5 linked regions of the Cricetulus griseus genome follow. The protein of the gene in region 2 binds, or shares a complex with, the protein of the main gene of each other region. Links are inferred from orthologs where the notes say so. Each region holds a gene or a part of one and is shown on either strand. Other genes may lie near its edges. The genes, in order: Taf6l, Tada3, Kat14, Tada2b and Mbip.

Evidence for each region.
Region 1: Tada3 (region 2) and Taf6l share a complex: the UniProt entries of both Homo sapiens proteins name them as parts of the STAGA transcription coactivator-HAT complex. The link is inferred for Cricetulus griseus from reciprocal best matches to the Homo sapiens genes TADA3 and TAF6L.
Region 3: Tada3 (region 2) and Kat14 share a complex: the UniProt entries of both Homo sapiens proteins name them as parts of the ADA2A-containing complex. The link is inferred for Cricetulus griseus from reciprocal best matches to the Homo sapiens genes TADA3 and KAT14.
Region 4: Tada3 (region 2) and Tada2b share a complex: the UniProt entries of both Homo sapiens proteins name them as parts of the TFTC-HAT complex. The link is inferred for Cricetulus griseus from reciprocal best matches to the Homo sapiens genes TADA3 and TADA2B.
Region 5: Tada3 (region 2) and Mbip share a complex: the UniProt entries of both Homo sapiens proteins name them as parts of the ADA2A-containing complex. The link is inferred for Cricetulus griseus from reciprocal best matches to the Homo sapiens genes TADA3 and MBIP.

Annotation. Positions count from the first base shown.
Region 1 is NC_048596.1:51,305,601-51,309,891, reverse strand, and holds the start of Taf6l (TAF6-like RNA polymerase II p300/CBP-associated factor-associated factor 65 kDa subunit 6L), read right to left. Parts: upstream 2,804-4,291; 5' UTR 2,656-2,803; intron 2,562-2,655; exon of another isoform or gene 2,506-2,561; intron 1,234-2,505; 5' UTR 1,185-1,233; coding exon 1,177-1,184; intron 1-1,176. UniProt on the Homo sapiens protein: Functions as a component of the PCAF complex. The PCAF complex is capable of efficiently acetylating histones in a nucleosomal context. The PCAF complex could be considered as the human version of the yeast SAGA complex.
Region 2 is NC_048601.1:31,429,580-31,433,090, reverse strand, and holds part of Tada3 (transcriptional adapter 3), read right to left. Parts: exon of another isoform or gene 3,430-3,511; intron 3,047-3,429; coding exon 2,937-3,046; intron 2,386-2,936; coding exon 2,200-2,385; intron 199-2,199; coding exon 6-198; 3' UTR 1-5. UniProt on the Homo sapiens protein: Functions as a component of the PCAF complex. The PCAF complex is capable of efficiently acetylating histones in a nucleosomal context. The PCAF complex could be considered as the human version of the yeast SAGA complex.
Region 3 is NC_048599.1:34,630,511-34,634,544, forward strand, and holds the start of Kat14 (cysteine-rich protein 2-binding protein), read right to left. Parts: upstream 2,812-4,034; 5' UTR 2,783-2,811; coding exon 2,521-2,782; intron 510-2,520; coding exon 391-509; intron 1-390. Other genes in the region: protein PET117 homolog, mitochondrial, read right to left, coding at 3,053-3,199. UniProt on the Homo sapiens protein: Component of the ATAC complex, a complex with histone acetyltransferase activity on histones H3 and H4. May function as a scaffold for the ATAC complex to promote ATAC complex stability. Has also weak histone acetyltransferase activity toward histone H4.
Region 4 is NW_023276807.1:105,487,184-105,491,179, forward strand, and holds the start of Tada2b (transcriptional adapter 2-beta), read right to left. Parts: upstream 2,812-3,996; 5' UTR 2,728-2,811; coding exon 2,458-2,727; intron 1-2,457. Other genes in the region: Ccdc96 (coiled-coil domain-containing protein 96), read left to right, coding at 3,324-3,996. UniProt on the Homo sapiens protein: Coactivates PAX5-dependent transcription together with either SMARCA4 or GCN5L2.
Region 5 is NC_048598.1:146,084,859-146,089,067, forward strand, and holds the start of Mbip (MAP3K12-binding inhibitory protein 1), read left to right. Parts: upstream 1-1,409; 5' UTR 1,410-1,472; coding exon 1,473-1,601; intron 1,602-4,209. UniProt on the Homo sapiens protein: Inhibits the MAP3K12 activity to induce the activation of the JNK/SAPK pathway. Component of the ATAC complex, a complex with histone acetyltransferase activity on histones H3 and H4.

The sequences.
Region 1 (4,291 bases), on a different chromosome or scaffold from region 2:
GGCCCACGCTAGAAAGGCTATGCATGCGCCGTCTATCTGCAAAACTCACTGCTTCTTCCCTTGTGTTCTGTGTGTCTACATGTGGCTACCTTTCAATTCCTTATTTCAAGGCCTCAATCCATTCTGCTGCTTCTGTCTGACACTCTCCTTCTTTGTTGTTCTCCCCAAATCTCGATCAATCACTTACCCCCTTCAGATCATAGTTCAGATGTCACTTGCTAAGGAAGCTCTTCCCAGATTGTGTAAATGTCCCCATCATTTGTTTTTAAAGCAACTCTGAGGCAGGAGCATGGATAGTTCAAAGCCCACTTGAACTATGAAGTGAGTTCAAGGTTACCCTAACAACTCAGACTATCTCAAAATAAAATGTAAAAAGAAGACTGGAGCTGAAGTGATGGTGCACACCCTTAATCCCAGCATTCAGAAAGCAAGGCAGATACATCTCTGAGTTCGAGACCAGCCTGGTCTACAAGAGCTAGTTCCAGGACAGCCTCCAAAGCCACAGAGAAACCCTGTCTCGACAAACCAAAAAAAAAAAAAAAAGAAAGAAAGAAAGAAAAGAAAAACTAAAACACACACACAAAAAGAAAAGAAAAGAAGTAAAGAAGCCAGGCATTGGTGGCTCACGCCTTTAATCCCAGCACTCAGGAGGCAGAGGTAGGCGGATCTCTGAGTTCCAGGCCAGCCTGGTCTACAGAGCGAGTTCTAAGACAACCTCCAAAGCAATACAGAGAAACCCTGTCTCAAAAAAAAAAAAAAGAAAGAAAAAAAAATTAAAGAAAGAAGACTGAAGATACAACTCAGTTGTAGAAATATTTCCGAGCATGTGTGAGCCCTAGGTTCAAACAGTCTGTAACTACACAGCTGCATAGCTTTTGTGTATGAGTTTACAGAAGACAACCTTGGGTAACATACCCCCTGAGGAGCTGTCCACTTTATTTTTTCAGACAGGGTCTCGCACTGGAACCTGAGGTCCACAGATTAGCTTAGGCTGGCTGGTCAGCAAGCTCCAGGAACCCACCACCTATCTTGGCATGCTGGGGCGGGCTGCAAGCTCACTACACACAGCTTTTCGCCATCATTCCCACTCTTTTTAAAGCGGCACTGGGGACCAGCGTGTGGTCCCTAGTAGACTGTAAGCTGCACACCAGCAAAGATCATGGTCTGTGTGCTCACCTTTGCATCCCAAGCGACCAGCAATGTCAGCACATATTATGCCTTCATTAACACCTGCTGAAAAAAGAAAGAGCAGGTATTCATTTGTTTTGGAGACAAAGTCTCTCTATTTAGCCCTGGAACTCTCTCTGTAGATCAGGCTAGCCTCAAACTTCCTGCCTCTGCCTCCCCAATGCTGGGATTAAACATGTGCACCACTACTCCTGGCCTAGAATAACTATTTTTCTTTTTTTTTTCTTTAACTTATTTTTATGTGCACTGGTGTTTTGCCTGTGTTATGTCTGTGTGAGGTGACAGATCCCCTATAACTGGAGTTATAGACAGTTGTGAGCTGCCATGTGGGTGCTGGGAATCAAACCTGGGTCATCTGCAAGAGCAGCCAGTGCTCTTAACTGCTGAGCCATCTCTTCAGCCCAGCTATTTCTCTGCCGAATTTTAAAAAATATGTCTTATTTATTTTGTTTGGTTTTTTAAAGATTTATTATTTTATGAATGAGTGCTCTGTCTGCATGTACACCTTTATGCCAGAAGAGCGCATCAGAATCCCACTACAGATGGTTGTGAGCCACTACGTGGTTGCTGGGAATTGAACTCAGAATCTCTGGAAGAGCAGCAGTGCTCGTAACCTCTGAGTCATCTCTCCAGCCCCCAGCTCTAAGCACATAAATGTTTGTGGCTTCCAAGTAGCAACACTCTATGACCTCCTCCTATCCTCGCTAACAAGATAGATAGTGTACATTTTTGTCTAGTTTACAAAGCCACGAGAGATAGCTCAGAAAGGTTACCTAGATTGTCCAAGACAAGCCAGCAAGCATTGAGTAATTAGATGTCAGGGACTCAAACCCTTGTTTTAAATTAACTCAGATGCTGGGCAGTGGCGGCGCACGCCTTTGATTCCAGCACTCGGGAGGCATAGGCGGGGGGGATCTGTGAGTTCGAGACCAGACTGGTCTCAAGAGTGAGCTCCAGGACAGCCTCCAAAGCCACAGAGAAAACCTGTCTCGAAAAACCAAAATATACTCAGGATGCTATATATATACCAGGAGCAGGCTTATGTTTGAACTAGGCCTGGCTTTGTAACCCAAGTCCCACCTTTAGATTCACCACTGGATGGGATGAGTACCCTTCAGTTTTCCCATCTGTAAAATGGGAGCACTCAGTCGTGAGCATTTGAAAAGCCAGTAGGGAGTTGCTCTATTATGTTCCCCTATTGAGACCTCAAAGTCCTGACTGTGACCAAGGTCTTGCACAGCCTCAGTTCCCAGTGCTGACCAGGAAGCGTGAGAACCGGCCTCCTCGGGCCTGTGGGTTGCGCATCCTCCGACCCACCTTCATCCCAGATCCAGAGGGCGTGGGGTGGAGTGGGGAGGTCAAGGGTTACGGAACTTGTGTCACGTGCTCGGTGAGGCGGGCGGGCGGGCCCCCGCGGGCCCCGAGGCTGGTGAGCAGCCCAGCACGGACGCGAAGAAGCCTGCTCACCTGCGGACTCCGGCGATGCGAGGACCCTGCCTACCGGGGAGGCGGCGGAGGCGGCGGCGGCGGCGGCGGCTTCCACTCACCGGCTCTCGCTAATTCCCTCTCTCGGAGCCCAGGCTCCGCCCTCAGTACGCGGAGCCAATCGGCAGCTGTCTCCTGAGCTTCCCGCCCACCAGCGGCCGTCCCGCCTCAGGATTGGTCAGTGTGAATATGTGGAGAAGGCACCGAGGCGTCGTTGGTCACGTGAATAGCGCTTCTTAAAGCAGCAGCTCTTGTTTGGCTAGCAGGTGCTGTGCCCGGGGTTGCCTGGAGTTAACACCTTCTCCATAGAGACAGTCCTCCATCCCTTGAGTCGGCTATCCCAGAGTATACAAGTTTTTTGGATCACAGTAAAGCTTTCGGTACATGACTTAGCTTAATGCCCCCAACAAGCCGGGCGTTGGTGGCACACGCCTTTAATCCCAGCACTCGGGGGGCAGAGGCAGGTGGATCTCTGTGAGTACAAGACCAGCTTAGTCTACAGAGCGAGTGCCAGGATAGGCTCCAAAGCTACACAGAGAAACCCTGTCTCGAAAATAAATAATAATAATAATAATAATAATAATAATAATAATAATAATGCCCCCAACAGCAACTGCTACTTTTTCCCCTTCCCAGAAGAATAGATGGGGGCCCAGGAGATGTTTCCCCGTGGACAGAAGGGACCTCTGGCCGGGTGTGGTGGTGCACACCTTCAATCTCAGCACTGAGGAAGCAAAGGCAGGAGGATTTTTGTTTGTTCGAGACCAGCCTGGTCTACACAGAGAGTCTGAAGCCAGCTTTGGGGGTGGGAGGCACATCGTGAGAAGCAAAAATCAGAAGGTACAGCCAGGCGATAGTTGCACACGCCTTTAATCCCAGCACTCTGTGAGTTCGAGGCCAGCATGGTCTACAGAGTGAGTCCCAGGAAAGGAAGGGAAGAGGGAGGGGAGCCCTGACTACACTTTATCTTGCATAACCTGATTATCATACAGAGAATTCCACCGTCTAATGAGCAGATTTACACTTTCACAAGTTTGACCCCTAATAGCACATGCCTGCATCGGACAGATGGCCAGTCCCAACTGCAGGCATCCCACTCTGTAAAAGTTAGTCCTCAACAATGTCATGTCACCTAAGCAAGATGGAGCTCCCTCCCACAAGTGTCCCACCTGTCAGACCTAAGAAATTTCCATTAAACCCTGTAAAGAGCTAACACTGGGAACACATTATGTCAGGTGCAATCTTTGAATTCCCACACCTCCAGCGTTGGTGGTGTCTCCTGTTAAATCTTCCATTTCTGTCAGTCTGGTCTTTGGTGAATACATTCAGTCAGTGTGTCATTGGCTTGCCAACATGGTCCCCCGCACAGAAGTATCCTCTCACTCCCCAGATACCTAGTGCTTGCAAAGATCAAATTGCTTTATTTCAACCAGGTGGCGGTGGCAGCCGCACACTTTTAATCCAAGCACTAGGGAGGCAGAAGCAGGCAGATCTCTGTGAATTCCAGGATAACCAAGGCTACACAGAGAAACCCTGTCTCAAAAAAAAAAAAAAAAAAAAAAAAAAAAAAAAAGAAGAAGAAAAATTGCTTTATTTCAGACATTCACTAGGCATGTTG
Region 2 (3,511 bases):
TGATGCTACCCGTCCAGGAGCTTCAGGATGCTCTCTCGTTCTTTCAGGGTTTTCCAGGCCTGGTCCTTTTCCTTCTTTGTAGGGGTGCGCTTCTTCTGCCGGGCAGCCATGATCTTGCGAAAGGCATCCATGACCTCATTGTCTGCCATGCGGACCCGCTGTCTCAGCTCCTGCCGGCTCACCTCCTCCTTTGCCAACCTATGGGGGCCAAGTATCATGGTTATCCAATCTCCAGTTATCATCCTCTTCCAAACTGAGCCTCCTCACAATCCCGGCTCTCATTCCCCTCTGCTTATTAGAATTACAGATGTGCACAGCTGCACTGAGCTTCTTCAATCCTGTGGGGATCTGACTCAGTCCCACTGATGGTGGAGCTGAAGGTCTCTAGGAAATCTAATCCTTGTTGCTTGGGCCCAAAGTACCTTGCCCACAGTCCAGTAGCTGGAGCACAGCAGGGCCCAGGGCTGAGCTTCAGCACCAAAACATTTCCACAGCAAGCCATACCTCTGGAACTACACAGCATTGTTTTTAATCTCGTTTGGTCCTACCCTTGCTGCTCCTTGCCCTTGAAAGGGAACTTTTTATTTTGTTGTTGTTTTGAGACAGGGATTCTCTGTGTAACATTGCTGGCTATCCTGGAACTCTTTGTAGACCAGGTTGGCCTCAGAGATCCGCCTACCTATGCCTCCCAAGTACTGGGATTAAAGGTGTGTGCTACCACCTCCCAGCTTGCTTGTCTTAGAAGAAAGAAGGTACACAAGACCCTAGCAGACAGTGGGCACCATGGTTTCTTTATCCTCAGATCCCCATAAAGCTCAGCAGCAGCTGCCCCTCCCCTCTGAATGGCGTGTCTCCTCCGACCACCTAAGAGAACAGGAGTCTCCTTCTGCCTTCTTCCTGGCCCAGCACCAGGTCAGACACAGTAAGAGCTAGCCAGGTAATCAAGAACCTGCTTTGTCAAGGCTCTAAGAGGAACAAGAAGTCTTGCTTGAGTGCTAACAAAAGGGCAGCTCCTACCAATGCCCTTCACATGTAATCTCTACCCTTGTCACCAGTGCAAGGAAAGTCAGATGGGAGTTGATATAAAATGAATGACACTATGACTGATTCTAAGACACTAGTAAGTGTGGGGTGACCAGCCAATCAAAGCCATAGACAGCTAAGAGAACATTAGCAACTCATATGTCTGAGCATACTGATATTCATTATTTTCTCTATGATGTTTTTTATGTATGTTATATGTATACGTCTTCATATTGCACATGTATATGTGCATGCATGTGGAGGCCAGAGGTTGATACTGGATCTTTCTTTATCATGCTTCGCCTTATTTATTTTTCCTGTAGCTTAGGTATTCACTAGAGGGTTATATGCCATGGTGTGCATGTGGAGGCTAGAGGACAACTTGCAGGAGTTGGTTTTCTTTCTCTATCATCTGGGTTTTAGGTTTTAGGGATTGAAATCAAGTGGCCAGGCTTGGTGGTAAGTGCCTTTACCCACTGAGAAATGGCCTATTCTGCTAGGCTTGCCTCTCTGCCCACCCAAGCACTGGGGTTACAGATATGTTCTGCTGTGGCCAGCTTTCATGTGGGTGCTGTAGACTGAACGCAAGAGGTCAGGCTTGGTGGCAAGCATTTTCCCCACTGCAGATCTTCCCAGTGCCTCTGTGGTATTTTGATTGAATAATACCATAAAGAAAAAGAAAACACAGCCAGGTAGTGGTGGAGGTAGCACATCCCAGCACTTGGGCGGCAAAGGCAGGTGGATCTCAGTGAGTTTGAGGCCAGCCTGGTCTACTGGGTGAGTTCCAGAACAGCCAAGGTTACACAGAGAAACCCTGTCTTGAAAAAAAGAAAGAAAACACACATTTAAAAAAAAAAAACAAAAGCAACTTAACACTGTAAATATTACTAAATTATGCTTATCAATGGAGTCAGGGCTGAAGAGATGGCTCAGTGGTTAAGTGTGTACTACTCTTGCAGAGGACTGGGGTTTAGTTCCCAGCACCTACATTGGGCGTCTGGCAAAAACCAGTAACTTCATCAACTGCAGGGCAGCTGACACCACAGACACCTGCACTCATATTCACAGACCCATCCATATGTCAGTTGTGGGTGCTAGAGCCCTGTCCCTGGACTTAGCATCCATCAGAGATCCAACTGGGGGATAGGGCTAGTCCCTGGCACAGTGCTCACTCACCTCAGCAGGTCATGCTTCTTGGTGCGGTTGTGTGCACTGAGTGCCTTCAGCTCAGCCTGCCGTTTGCGCAGCTCAGCGAGGACCTCATCCTCTGAGTCCTCAGCAGGCCGGTCCTCGGACTCCAGGAGGCCCTGTGCAATCAGCTCCTCCTTGATGCGGCTCTCCAAGGACTTGGTGTGGGGCACACTGTAGGCAAGGCCAGCACCTGAGCTCTGAGCGCCAGCTGGAGGGCCCTCAGAGGATCCCAGTCTGGCAAGGTGAACCCATATAGCCACACATATATGTTTCAGGCCTTGTTATGTGTGAGTTGCAATCTTTTATGATATATATTTCCAAGATTTTTTAAAACTATATGTAACTCTTAAATATAGTTTAAGTACAAATAGGATTACTCCTTTCCCCCCATTTGGTACTCTGTTTTAATTCTTTCATGTCAAGTATATTTCTGTAATGATTAGCAGTTACAAGTTATTTCTTATGCAGTTTTAGCACTCAACTAGCCATTCCCTTCAGCTGGACACTTGGGTTATCTCCAGGAAAGGCAAAGGTATGATCAAGTCTGTACTAAGCCTGTCCAGAATCGAGGCCAGCACTTCCATGTGCTGTGCAAACATCTGTATAGCCAGATGTCTGTGCATGGTCAAATGGCCCCAGCCTCTGTTTACAAAGCATGCCCCCCTAAGAAGACAGAGAGAAGCTGACAGTCACGCCCAGAGTGCAGATGGTATGTCACTCACCTGAAGGGTTTGTTCTGATTTCGGGGAGAGGTGCTTGCGCCATCAGCCCCTGATTCTTTCCCAGACATGTCAGGAATAGGAGAGTCCTCCATAGGGGAAATAATATTTTCCTGAAGACCAGAGATAGGTTAGAAGGAGGAAGCAATAGAATCCCTGTTTTAATGCTCCTCTCTGACATACACAGTCTTTATAGGCTAGATAGAAATAGTCTGCCATCTTTTCATCCCACTCATGTTAAAAAGCTTCCTCCAATTCCAGCACTGAGGAGGCAGAGGCAGGCAGATCTCTGTGAGTTCGAAGCCAGTCTGGTCTACAGAGTAAGTTCCAGGACAGGCTCCTGTCTCAAAAAACAAAAACAAAAAAAGCTTCCTCCAAAGCTTTGATCATTATAGAAATTCTTTTATTGAGGGGAGGGGAATATGGACAGCAAAAGAAGGGGACACAAGAGAAACAGTGACAAGGAAATAACCTAGCACTGTTTTTTCCTCCACAGCAGCTGAGCTACACTACATTTCCCAGGCTCCACTGCAGTCAGATGGACTCATGGGACAAATTCTTCATTGGAAAGTGATCTA
Region 3 (4,034 bases), on a different chromosome or scaffold from region 2:
ACTTGCTTCCAAGTGCAAATGCAGGAAGGCTAAACCAGTTGTTACTTTGTCTTTGTTATCAAGTCAAACTGTTTCTGCCAAATCTATTTCCAGTGTAGCCACCTCTGGTTTTATTATGCCAGAAATGACTGCCAGAAAATGTGGGCCTGGTTTTCAGTTGAATCTAAGCTTGGTATGACACAAACGAAACTGATTCAGATTCTCAAGAATTCAATAAATCAGGAGTGAGGATTTTTTTTTTTTTTTTAAGCCACGAAGTGTTCTTTCCACACAATGTACCCCTTTTCATTGTGAAGTGTGAAGCACCCCACCCCCAAACCACTCCAGATAATCATTCCAATTTCTTGGGCATCCAACCTGCTGCATCTAAGAGAAGCGCTTGGTACTCACTTGCTGCCACGTCAGCTTCAGCCGCTCGTACTGCTCCTTGCCATCTGCTGAGCAATCGGAACAAGTAAACCTGAAAAAGTTATCGCCCTTAAGGTAACTGAGCTGTTCCCTCAGCTGACCTATGGGGAAAAAAAAAAACAACAACAAATACAAAAACAAAAGTCACATCATGGGTTTATCTCATGCAGTGGCAACCCAAAGGCTCAGTTAATTGACCAGATTTCCAAGTTTCCCATGGAAGGCTTTTTTGTTTTCTGCAGCCAACCCAGGACAGTAGCAGAGGAGAGGAAAAAAGGTGTTTCTCCTTCTAAAGTCAGGCACATGCCCCTCCTAGAACCCGTGGCTCCTTAGCTTTTCAGGAGAAAGGTCCTGGAAAAGCAGGTAAGATTGCTCTAACTGGATTTCCCAGTAGCCACATTCCTGACTCCTCTAGGCAGGTCTCTTCAAACATTCTTTCCGGGAATACCTGAGCTTGTACTACCAGCCAGGCACCAGGCTAGGAGCTGGATATGCAATGTCTAAGGCAGACATGACCAGCGCCTGTTCTCATGGACTCATAAATCTGGAGGCAGCAGAGAACACAGGTATGCACAACTGCACTGATTCTGGATTCTCGTGGAGCATCAGAATCACCAGGTGGCTGGGCTTAATATCCCTGCTATGGCCTTGTCTGCCCCAGATGAAATGCTTGCCTCTGAGCCTGGGTCTGGGCTCTACATTAAAGCTCCTAGGTGATGCTGATGCTTTGTGTACCATGAAAACTTCCAGAGTAGACTATAATATACATCACTGGGCAGTGTAAGGCATAGGAAGAAAAAGAGATGTCCAACCCCACTAGGGAGGGAAGAGGGGTCTCCTGGGCCCAAGGGAAGGTTGCATGTGGATCAGGAGTGCAGGGAAGCAGTCCAGGTGAGTATTCCAGAGAAAACAAAAAGGTACAAAGTCCTAGGAACCAAGCGTTATTTAGAAAGAATGAAATGTTCACCTACCTCCCTGAAAAAGTTAGCAGAGACCAATCATGAAAGTCACCTTAAAATTTACCCTGGGAGGACAACAGGAAAGCCAGAAATTTGGAGTGGAACCCAGCTTTACTAGATAGCTGAGAATCAAAAACGGTAGTCAATTCTAGGTTTGTTTTCTATGAACTGTTACTATTAACCTATTTATAGTAGCTATTAATTTGAACAATTGGATCCATTTTTAACAAAAGCTTCTACATACCAGAAAATAACCAACTTTGCTAAGTGAATTAATACCTCCATTTCACCAACTATGAACCCTTACACAAAGTGTTCCTCCAGTGCACATGCCTTCTGTCTCTTGCCTAATGGAAAATGCTGTGTAGGTAAGAATCATGATGGCTGACAAAGCATGCTATGAAACAGGCAGCCAGAAACCTCAAGATCTGTGCATTGTGACTCCTTCCAGCAGATAAAAGGCCCACAGTAGAAAATAAACCTGGACCAAAGGCAGGAAGCAAACACCTTTGCACTGCCAATTCTTACCTCCCATCAGAAGAGAACAGCAGTTTCCACAAATGTCAAATTAACACGGTAAGTTATGTGAACTTGAACCTTTAATTCTATACTGGCAACAACAGAATGTGTCCCTCAACCCACAGCATAATCTTAGAAAAATATGGCCAATTCCTTAAGTGACATAGGATTCCTAGTTTTTCTTGGGCTACCACCCTGAATGTTAATTTAACAATGGGATAGTGGTTGACAATTTTAATTAATACAAATATGGTTTTGTGAGGCCGGAGAGCTGGCTTGGCAGTTAAGAGCACTTACTACCCTTGCAGAGGATGTGTGTTCAGTTCCTTGCACCCACACAGTGGCTTACAACCATGTGTAATTACAGCTCCTCTCCTCTGACCTCTGCAAGCACTGCAGGAACATGGTGCTCATACACTCAGGCACATACACATACATATAAAACAAATGAGTCTTTAAAAAACTAAAAACAAAATAATGTGGTTTGATACAAATTTACATTTGGTAAACTACACTAGTAATAATAAATATAATTATCTTTTTTTCAAGTCTATTTTATTAGTGTTTTTCACAGACTGGAAAACAAACCATCACACAGGGATCGACCGATCAAAGGAATTGAGAAGCTCCTTACTGGCTGGGATCCACTTCTGGCACTTGTCACAGAAGTAAGACAGCTGCTCCTCCATCCATGATACATCTCCTTCATCGCTGTTAAGCGAGTCCCCACTCTGGTCGTGAGATAAGTCCACTGACGCCTGATCCTCTGATTCAACAATTAGGAGAGTTTCTCCCTCCACCTCACCTTCCTCCAGCCCTTCTGAGGTGGATGTTCTTGTGGCTTCATCATCATGCCGACTGAGCAGACCACTCAGGTGGATGTTACTCTCCATCATTCCCTGCTCACAAGCACACCTAAGCTGACAGGGACTGCTGCAGAATCCCCCAGACAACTTCAGAAGAGCATCTGCCCACGAGTACTTTATCCAGACAGAACAGACTCTTAAAAGAATTATTTAGAAGACAGGATCCACTGTCCTTTATTTAATAAAGTTTAAATGGACAGTGATGGGGGAGGGGACGGCTTTCACTAGCTATTCTCTATCAACACACACCCACATACACACACACACATACACCCAGCACTGCCCCATCAATTTTCACAGTCAAGTGTTTTGAGATCCTCTTTCCAACATCTTCTCTCTTTCTGCTTCAAGTTGCTTAGTCAAAATAATCTGTTCTCCCAAAAGACGAATGTTTTCTTTTTTCTGATTCTGCCTCTCAATGTCTCTGATCACTCCGTCACGAAGCCTCTAAAAACGTAAGAAGCAGATTTTAGTTACCCCCTGAACAGGTGGCTCCCATCCTGTGCCTCCAAATCTAAATAACAGCACCACCAAAATACACTCAAAATGTTCCGATTCCAAATACCCAATTACTATTTTAACTTCTGTACATTGTAAATAAAGAAACCACCAAGTAAATCATGTAATGTGTTATGCTAATACTGAAGTGACTTCTTACCACGTTTTAAGAAATCCCTGAACACAGAAAACTTAGTGGGAATTAATAATAAAACAGACACTCTGTTGGATTTTATAAATGTAATTGCTAAGTGATACTTCTAAAAGGTGATGAGTTGGTACAGCAAAACTGTGAACTACCTTCCTATAATCAATGACCTGAGACAGACAACAAACATCAAGAGAAAAAACAGACAGGAAGAATGTGAGAAAATAATGGGCTTCTATCATGAAAAGTCAGAGACATAAAATTTCCAATCAATTTGATTAAAAATTTGAAAAAAAAAAAAGGACTATTATCAGTGAAAAAGTAAGTTCCTCAATGGTCATTACCTTGATAAACTCTAAAAACAGAATCTCAGAGTGTGAACCCTGGCCTAGCATGAAATTTAAAATCTCCACTTAGTCACTATTACAAATATTTTATAGTTTGTAGCTCACAAGAGTACATTTTTAACAGAAACTTCATGAGATTATTATTTTTACTTTTTCACTTTAAAAACTTTAATTCTAAGCCAGGCGGTGGTGGTTCACACCTTTAATCTCAGCACTAGGGAGGCAGAGGCAGGTGGATCTCTGTGAGTTCGAGACCAAGAGCTAGTTTTAGGCGGTGGTGGCGAACTCT
Region 4 (3,996 bases), on a different chromosome or scaffold from region 2:
GAATAAAGCAACCGGTCTAGGAGAGCACAGATAGCAGAGTCACAGAGCCTCCTCTTTCTGTGTGAGGATCAGTGGTTGCATCTCTCAGACCGGCCCTGAGACTCTTGCTGCTTCAGCAGGTAGCAGTCCATGAACTACACACAGGCAGCCAAGTCCCAAGACTCTTCCTCTTGAGCTTTACTTCTTCCAAAGCTGAGCCTGGACCTCATGAGAACCTGCATCTTGACTCAAGTTCCTCTGGCCTTAAAGCCTGAAAGTGCTGCTTCAGAAGAGGCCTTCCCATCCAGCCTGTTTATTCATCCACATTTTACATGCTTCCATGCCTGGGTGCTATGTGCTTCTGACTGTGCTACACCAATGCAGCACAAACACTAGTTGAGGTGCGGACTCTACAGCCCAAGATTTCCTTTCTTTTCTTTAGCAAAATAAAATATAATAAGATAGAATAAAAACCATCACATCGAAGTTGGACAAGTCAAACCAATGAAGAAAAAGAGCCCCAAGAGAAGTGACAAGAATCAGCGACCCACTCGTTCACATACTCAGGAGACCCATAAAAATACTAAACTGAAAGCTATAATATAAATGCAGAGATGTGGTACAGACCCATGTTGGCCCTGTGCTTGCTGCTTCAGTCTGTGAGTTCACATGAGCTGTGCTCACTTGATTACAAGGGCCTTGTCTCTTTGTGTCCTCTTCCCCCCTCTGGCTCTTACACTCTTTCTGCCTCTTCTTCCACTTGGTATAGCCAGCCCAGTTTCAGGAGATAAAACAAGGTCAGCAGTGGGCTCCCCAAAACTAACACTCTCACTCTTTTCAGTGGCTACTCTAGAGATAGTGCTGGAGGAATGATGTGAGGAAGAAACGTCTCTCTGAAGCAATGACACATAAGGACAAAGATCAGTCAGTAGTCTTGACTAGGGTGAAAGCACTGTAGGCAGAAGAAAGGAAAACTCATCAAGAGAGTAAGCATGAGATCACAGGGAACCATAGATGTTGTCAGGCCTTGCAGGCATTGTAATGTAATCTAAGTAGAACTGGAAGTTGCTGAGAGCCAAAGAGATACAGCTTATGTTTCAAAAGACCTGTGTTGGTGTGTGAGAAGAGCTATAGAACACAAGGAGAAAGCAGGTAAACCATGAGATGTTAAAACAGTAAGAGGTAAATGTCAGCGTGGTTCAGACCAGAATTAGCAGCTACATTCGGCACATTTTTAAAAATAGATGACAGCTAAACAACTAGATGTAGATGAAGGTTTTAAGTTGACTCTGTAGCTGAGCACAAAGTGAGGCTGGGTCACCATGGGCAATGATATAGAGAGGAATGGATGTCATCAGGTAGAGACAAGCTAGAGGAACAGAACAAACGAATGCAACATTTTCAGTTCTGAGGCTCTTCTTCAGGGTGTTTCATGCTGCCTGATCTATACAAATCAAATGCTCAATATACACCAACAACACCACTTATAGGCAAAGCAACCAGATGTTTTTGGAGAGCAGGAGTCAAGGTGTTGGCCATCAGGAAAGTATCTGTAAAGTAGAATCTTTCCTAGGTGGGGGAGGTGGGTCCAAAAGGTCACTCACTGCATATGATGACCTGGAATAGTAAGGCAGTATGGCTGGAGTAGGGAAGCTTAGAGAAGCAGTACCCAACCATACCGGGAAAGAGTCTGGACAGAACAGGGTCATACTTAGCTCCCTTTTCTTTGAAAGCCTGAAGATACTATATGTGCCTGGCGGTAATGGTGACAAAGACAGAGTTCTTCCCTAATAAAGGTGAGGAATAGAAGGAAAGCTCCTTAGAGATCCCTAGAGAACAACCAGGAGACCAGCACACTATCTGGCTGGCACACCAAAGCTCCTGCCACCAGCAAGACACATCTACTGAAACCTGACAGCTAGAAAGCAGACTCCTGGTTACATGCCTCCTCACTGAGAGGCCTTTGTTCATTCTTTACTGGCCACCTCTCACACTATGTCCTGGGTGCTGTAGAGAGCAAGAATTAAACAAGGCACTGCTACCCACGGAGAACCCTAGCTCAGGTCACATGCTGACACCCACAGAAAGCACTCGAAGCCCTGAATGCAGACTAAGTGCATGCGGGATGGGCAGCCCAGGCTTCTAGCCTTCCTCATCACTGTGCCCAGGAGAACCCAACCCTACCAGGGAACTCAGAAGGGACAGCAGGGTCTCGATTGCTGCCATCTGGCTCGAGTAGAAGCTTGGCAAGGTACAGGGCCTGCCCTCCGCCTGCGTTCAATGCACACATTCTGAGGACGAGTGTGAAGGGCAGACAGCTCGGTGTAGGGGCCACGGGTCAAGGCTCTGCTCTACCAGCTGTGTAGCCATGGGCGCCCAGCATTCTCTGGGCGATCCCGTCCGGCCACCTGCGGCCCGCCGCAGCGTGCACCAAACCAGCCAGCCATGCCTTCCTTCTAGTCAGGGCCCGCCGCTCACCCAGTTGCCGAAGCCGAACTGCTCGATGGCGTCCAACAGCAGCTGCTCCTCGCGGCTGGTCCAGCCGCCCTCCGCCTCAGGCCCCCAGAGAGTGAATCGTCCACCGTCCACCAGCTGGTAACCGTGGTAGCGGCGGTGGTGGCCGATCTCCGCGCCAGCCGAGAAGCACTCGGGGCACAGCTCGATGTCCTGGCACTCGGTGCAGCGGAAGCGCAGCGGGCTCACCTCGGCCAGGCAGTACACGCAGTACTTCTTACCCAGCTCCGCCATCTTCCCCCGCTCGCCCGCCGCCCGGCCCGCAGTCGCCGCGCCTCCGGCCGTCAGCGCCCCGCCGCCTGTCGAGCCCACTGCGCCCACCGCGCCCGCGCTGCTGCCGGCCGCTGCCACGGCCGTCCCCGCCCAGGCGCCGCCGGAGCCCGCCAGGCGGGCCGCGTCCCGCCTCAGCACGCAGGCGCCCTCCGGCCCGGCCCGGCAGCCGCCGCCGTCGCCGCCGTCTCCCCGCCGCATCGCGCAGGCGCCCCGCGCGCGCCCTCTTGCGGGCAGCCGAGCCTCCGATCTGCGCCTGCGCGCCGCTGCCTCCCTCCGCCTCATGGACTCACGAAGCCGTAAGGCCCCGCCCCAAACCTGACAGCCGGCAAGGCGCAGACCGGAAGCCGGTCTGCTGCGCCACACCTCTCAAGAGACAGTGTCCAATCAGCGCTTACATTCACCTGTTCGTTGTCCTTCATTGGCTTAATATTGCTGGGAGGCGGAGAGAAAAGGAAGGCGGACGACCAATCGCGGGGCCCACCGCGCGCGCCCTGGTTGCCCCGGGAAACCTAACAGCAGGCGGCCGCGGTCCTCAGACCTGAGACTGCGGGTCGAGCATGGACAGCCACGACGGGGATACCGAGGGCGAAGGAGGAACTGAGGAAGCCCCGACCAGGCAGTCGTCCGAGACCAAGGTCAGCTCCGAACCTGAACCTCAGACCCCGGCCGACCCTGCGGAGCCGGAGCCAGAGCCCGGGCCGGAGCCGGAGCCGGAGCCGGAGCCGGAGCCGGAGCCGGAGCCGGAGCCGGAGCCAGAGCCAGAGTCTGAGGCGGAGACCCAACCTGTTGCGGACGACACTGAAGCAGAGGTTTTGGAGGGGAGTGATGACGCTCATGTCGAGGAAAGTCTGGAGGCCGCTACGGCTGCGAGCGAGACAGCAGAGGCTGCGAGCGAGGCCGTGTCCCGAGAGCCAGAAAGTCTGTCAGAGCCGCATCCCGAGACCGAGCGGGAGTTCCAGGAGGGGGACGAAGACGAAGACGAGGATGAAGACGAGGACGAGGACGAGGATGAGGAACCCGCCGGGCGGGAGAAGCAGGACAAGGTGAAGAAGGTGAAGAGCAAGGAGTCACGGTTCCGGCCCTCCCTGCCACTGACCACGATCGTCGAGGAGGCGGCTGCTCCAGCCCCACAGGCTGAGAAAGAGAAAGCAAAGGAGTCAGAGCAGAAGCGAGGTAGCGAGGAGATCCGGGCGACAGGTCGAGAACAACACAAGAAAAGCAAAGAGGATG
Region 5 (4,209 bases), on a different chromosome or scaffold from region 2:
ATATCCCCTGCTTCTAATCTCTTTGGGCACCTACACACACACACACACACACACACACACACACACACACAACTAAAAAAATTGTGAAACTAAAAGCTTGGGTTTCAAAATCAGTTATGACAAAGAAAAGAATGGGCAGTACCTTAATCACTCTCAAAATGTGTAATAAAAGTCCTCTATTGCCTAAAAAATCCAAAGATCATTACTTGGTATAGAACAAGGACTCTTAGATTCCACATTACAATTATCCCCCATTAACAAGTGAATCAGAGACAAAAATGTGCTAACATTACAACAAATTGTGAATTTCTTTTAGTTATAAGGACAAGTGACTGGAATGAGAGGGTTGCTTGATTTGAGTTTCAATCTCTGTCACCAAACAGGTGTTCTACCGGCTTCAGATCTTACTGCTAGCAAGGACACAGACAAGCTTTCTTGCTATGTCTGATGATCCCAGACATCTTTGGAAATAACTGAGTAAAAGGCTCTGTAGAGACAGGTCAAAGGAGTGCTTTCATTTTTACTATCCTTATCCCGGTGTCCCTTGGTTCCTTATTTCTTCCTTCATTCAGCTTCTTCTCAACTCTATAGAATACACTTTAGGTCCATACCTCTACTTCCTGTATACTAGCCCTGGCTGTCCTGCAACATGGTCAGTAGACCAAGCTTATCTCTTAAGCTTGTTTTAAAATTTTAACAGAATTCTACATTATAAAATTATAACTCTTTCGTTATAATAAAGCTATCTAATAATACCCGGCAAGTGTCGATTTAGTTTTCTATCTCAATTTCGACTAATATGAAATTAGTTGGTTTAAAGTTCTATTGGATTTATTTGAAACAATTTTAGGATTGAGTGTCCATTGAGTGTCCACTGAGAAACTGTTGCATTAGAAACTTGACAAACTATTTTACAGTTATAGTCATCAATGTCGTTTCCTGACAAAGGAGGCATAATGTAGGCTTTTCAGTTTTTCTTACATTCTTCGCGTCAAACAACCCTGTAGAGATGAAAATGTTCTATCCAGTTATGATCATCCTGGGTATGAATTTTCCAGTATTCAGACACGTGAGCCCCGTTCCATCGCTGACCCTCAACCTTGTCCCAACTCCAAGTCGCCATGTTAACATTTTAAATTTTAATAGAGGGACTCAATTTCTAACACTTAACAGTAAGGCTCTTCCGGCACTCACGGGGAGCGTCTAAGAGCCAAGGTAGACTTCTAAGCCATAGCCACCCACGCAAAACATCACCAAACAGAGGGTCCGCCTGCGCTACACAGAACCTCCGAGTTCAGACGCCTTGCTCTTGATTGGTCTCGGTGCCTGTCTGTCACATAGAGAGAGTGGGGCCTACCCTCACATCCAAATAAGACGCGGTAGTTTTACGTCATCTCAGCGCGACGGAATCCGCGCGGGAGGGGAGGGGGCGAGCCGTCTTGGCCGCGCTTGGGGGCTGCTGCGAAGGTGTCATGGCTGCTGCTGCGGAGCCCAGTGCCTCAAGCTGCAGCGAGAGGAACCTGGAGCGAAGCTCCAGCCCCCTTCTCACCCGCGAGGTGCTCTGCGAGCTCTTTCGTTCCCTGCACACCCTGACTGGGCAGGTAAGTGAAGGTGCGGCGGGGGTGGGGAGCATCCCGGTCCTCTCTCCGGAGTCCTCCCTCGTCGCGGAGTCCTCCCGCATCGCGTCTGCGGCTAGGATGCCGAGGCCGCGGCCGCCGGGACCGGGAGGAGCGGGAGCCCAGTTGCCTGGGGCCGGGAGCGGCCGGCTGCACACTCGGTGACCACGCGTGAGTACCGAGGGCGAGAGGAAACACGGGTCCTGGCGCCGAACTCTTGCAGAAAATCAATGCATGAGAGATGGCAGGGTTAAGGAGGCTCCTGGAGCTGACTGTGGTTTTTCCTCCCCTGTTTTAATTCGTCGGTTAGTATGGCCTGAAACTTTTCCTACCTCCATCTCCACTCTTTAGGGGGTGATTTACTCTGGGTTTTTATTTGTTTCTCATCATTTATTTGCATCTGTCATACCCTTTGAAACGGTGCGGGGGGCTGTAAGAATTTCTAAAATATAACTAACTTGTAATGTGCCTAGATTTTAGTGTAAATTGTTGGATGATTTGAATGTATGACCAGCTCTACCGTCTTTACTAGTGTCGTGTGACTATTAACTAATCGCTCTTACAGAAATGCCATAGTAAAACTGGATTTTAAAAAGGAGGTTCCTTCACTTTATTAGATAAAGCCATTCATGATATAATGAAGCTTATTTTTAATAAGGAGCAAAAGTATGTTTGCTTGCTTTTAAAAATATTTTATGTCAAACTGTTTCCTAGTTTGATTGGGGGCTGGTCTAGTGCATGTGGTACCTCTGACAATAGGGCATTTACCTGATTTGTGAGAATTATTTTTAAAACCCTTAGATGGATGAATAATTGATCTTGTAAAAAGTTATTTTAGTAAAAATTTTAAAACCTTAGTACGTTTATTTTGCCTGGCAAACTACTTTCATTTGTACATTCAGTTCGGTGTTATGAGGCAGTTAATAGTGGTCTTCTAAAATTAAAACTTTAAAATCAATTGTTTAATGAGCATTAGTAAATTTTTTCCCAAGTCTTAAAGACTTTGTTTAAATTAACATTTCAGTGATAATATTCCAGATCTTTAAATAGTTCAAAAGTCAAAGAACTTTTTGGCATGGATTTGGAACTTAAAGACTTAATCATTAATATTCTAATGTCCAGATGAGAAAAATATTCTCAGCCTTTGTGTTTAGAAGTTGCAAAAATAATGTACATTGATAAATGATTTGAACATCTAAAGTATTCTGCATATTGATTTTTTCAAAGTTATATAAATTTATACCAAAGGTTCAAATGGAAAAAACGATTCAATCTTAACTTATGCCACCTGCCAACAAATGTAACATAGTTAAAGGGACCTTTATACAAGTGTCAATATAAGATTTTTTTTAAATCAATTAAATGCTGTTTTAGTATTATTGTGTATTTTGAGATTATGATTTAAGCCATACACACATGTAAGTTGCCCCTAGGCAACTTGTGTCCTTTTGCAACAAATTAAAAGGATTTTTAAGATGTAAATTGTAATTATTAGTTCATTGTAAATATCATTGAATTATTAGTGCTTTTCAAAAGAAAGTATAAAACTGAATTGTAAAAAGTATTTTTTTCTCCAAATGCAAAATACACTTACATTAACCTTTTTTCTTTCCTCTCATTGGCCCATGTTATCAAGCTAAAGATTTGTTAGCTTGTTTTTTTTTTTTTTTTTTTTTGTATTAGTTTCTACTGAACATTCATAACTGATTAATCTAGTGTATTAATAGAAAAATTTGAATGTCAAGAGCTATGGGGTAAAATGCATAAAGGAATTTGCTGAATGAAAAATTGGATGTATTTGGGGGTCATTTTTGAATTATGACATTATTGTTTGATTTTTCATGGAAGACCAACTATCTTGAGTTGCCTTTGAAGACTTACATAATTCTGCTGAATTGACATAGAATATTATCCAGCCATTAAGATTTCTTTTCTATAGTTATTTTCTTTAAAGAATGTGATGCTTTCCTCAGGTTTAAAGATTACTTGTTTTTTTTATTCTTCAAGCCATTTAAATTTGCCATAGTCAACTGTATGTCTCTTGGAGAACTGTAAACACATGCTGATGGATTGCTTTCATACACATTATTAAATACAGTAATCTTATTAATCTTAATGTCAAATCTTAACTTAGTTGTAAGCTTATCTTTGCCAGTATAGTCTATGTAAAATTTCATATTTCTTTATGTCTGTCAAATAAGGACTTGAAATGGTTCTGGTCTCAGCAGTAAATGTTTGTATCCATTGTACACGAAAGTGCTTACTTTGGGAACTTGGGATTTCTTTGGTTCCGTAGACAGTGATTCACGTTTTGGTTTTTTATTTTTAACAACTCATTAGATTGATAGTTGAATTCATGAAACGTGTATCTTTACTTTGTGGAAAATATGACTAGTTGCCAATAAATTATTCTTGCAAAATACAGTTAACTTCCTTCCACTATGCGGTATGTACTTATACAATGTACTTATACAATAGGTGTCCTTAGAAAAGTTTATAGGGATTCCTTCATACTCAGTCAGTGATTACAGGTGGAGCTTCTCCTCTCCCACTAAAGTTTTGACTGATTTTGATATTAATTTTATATTCAGGT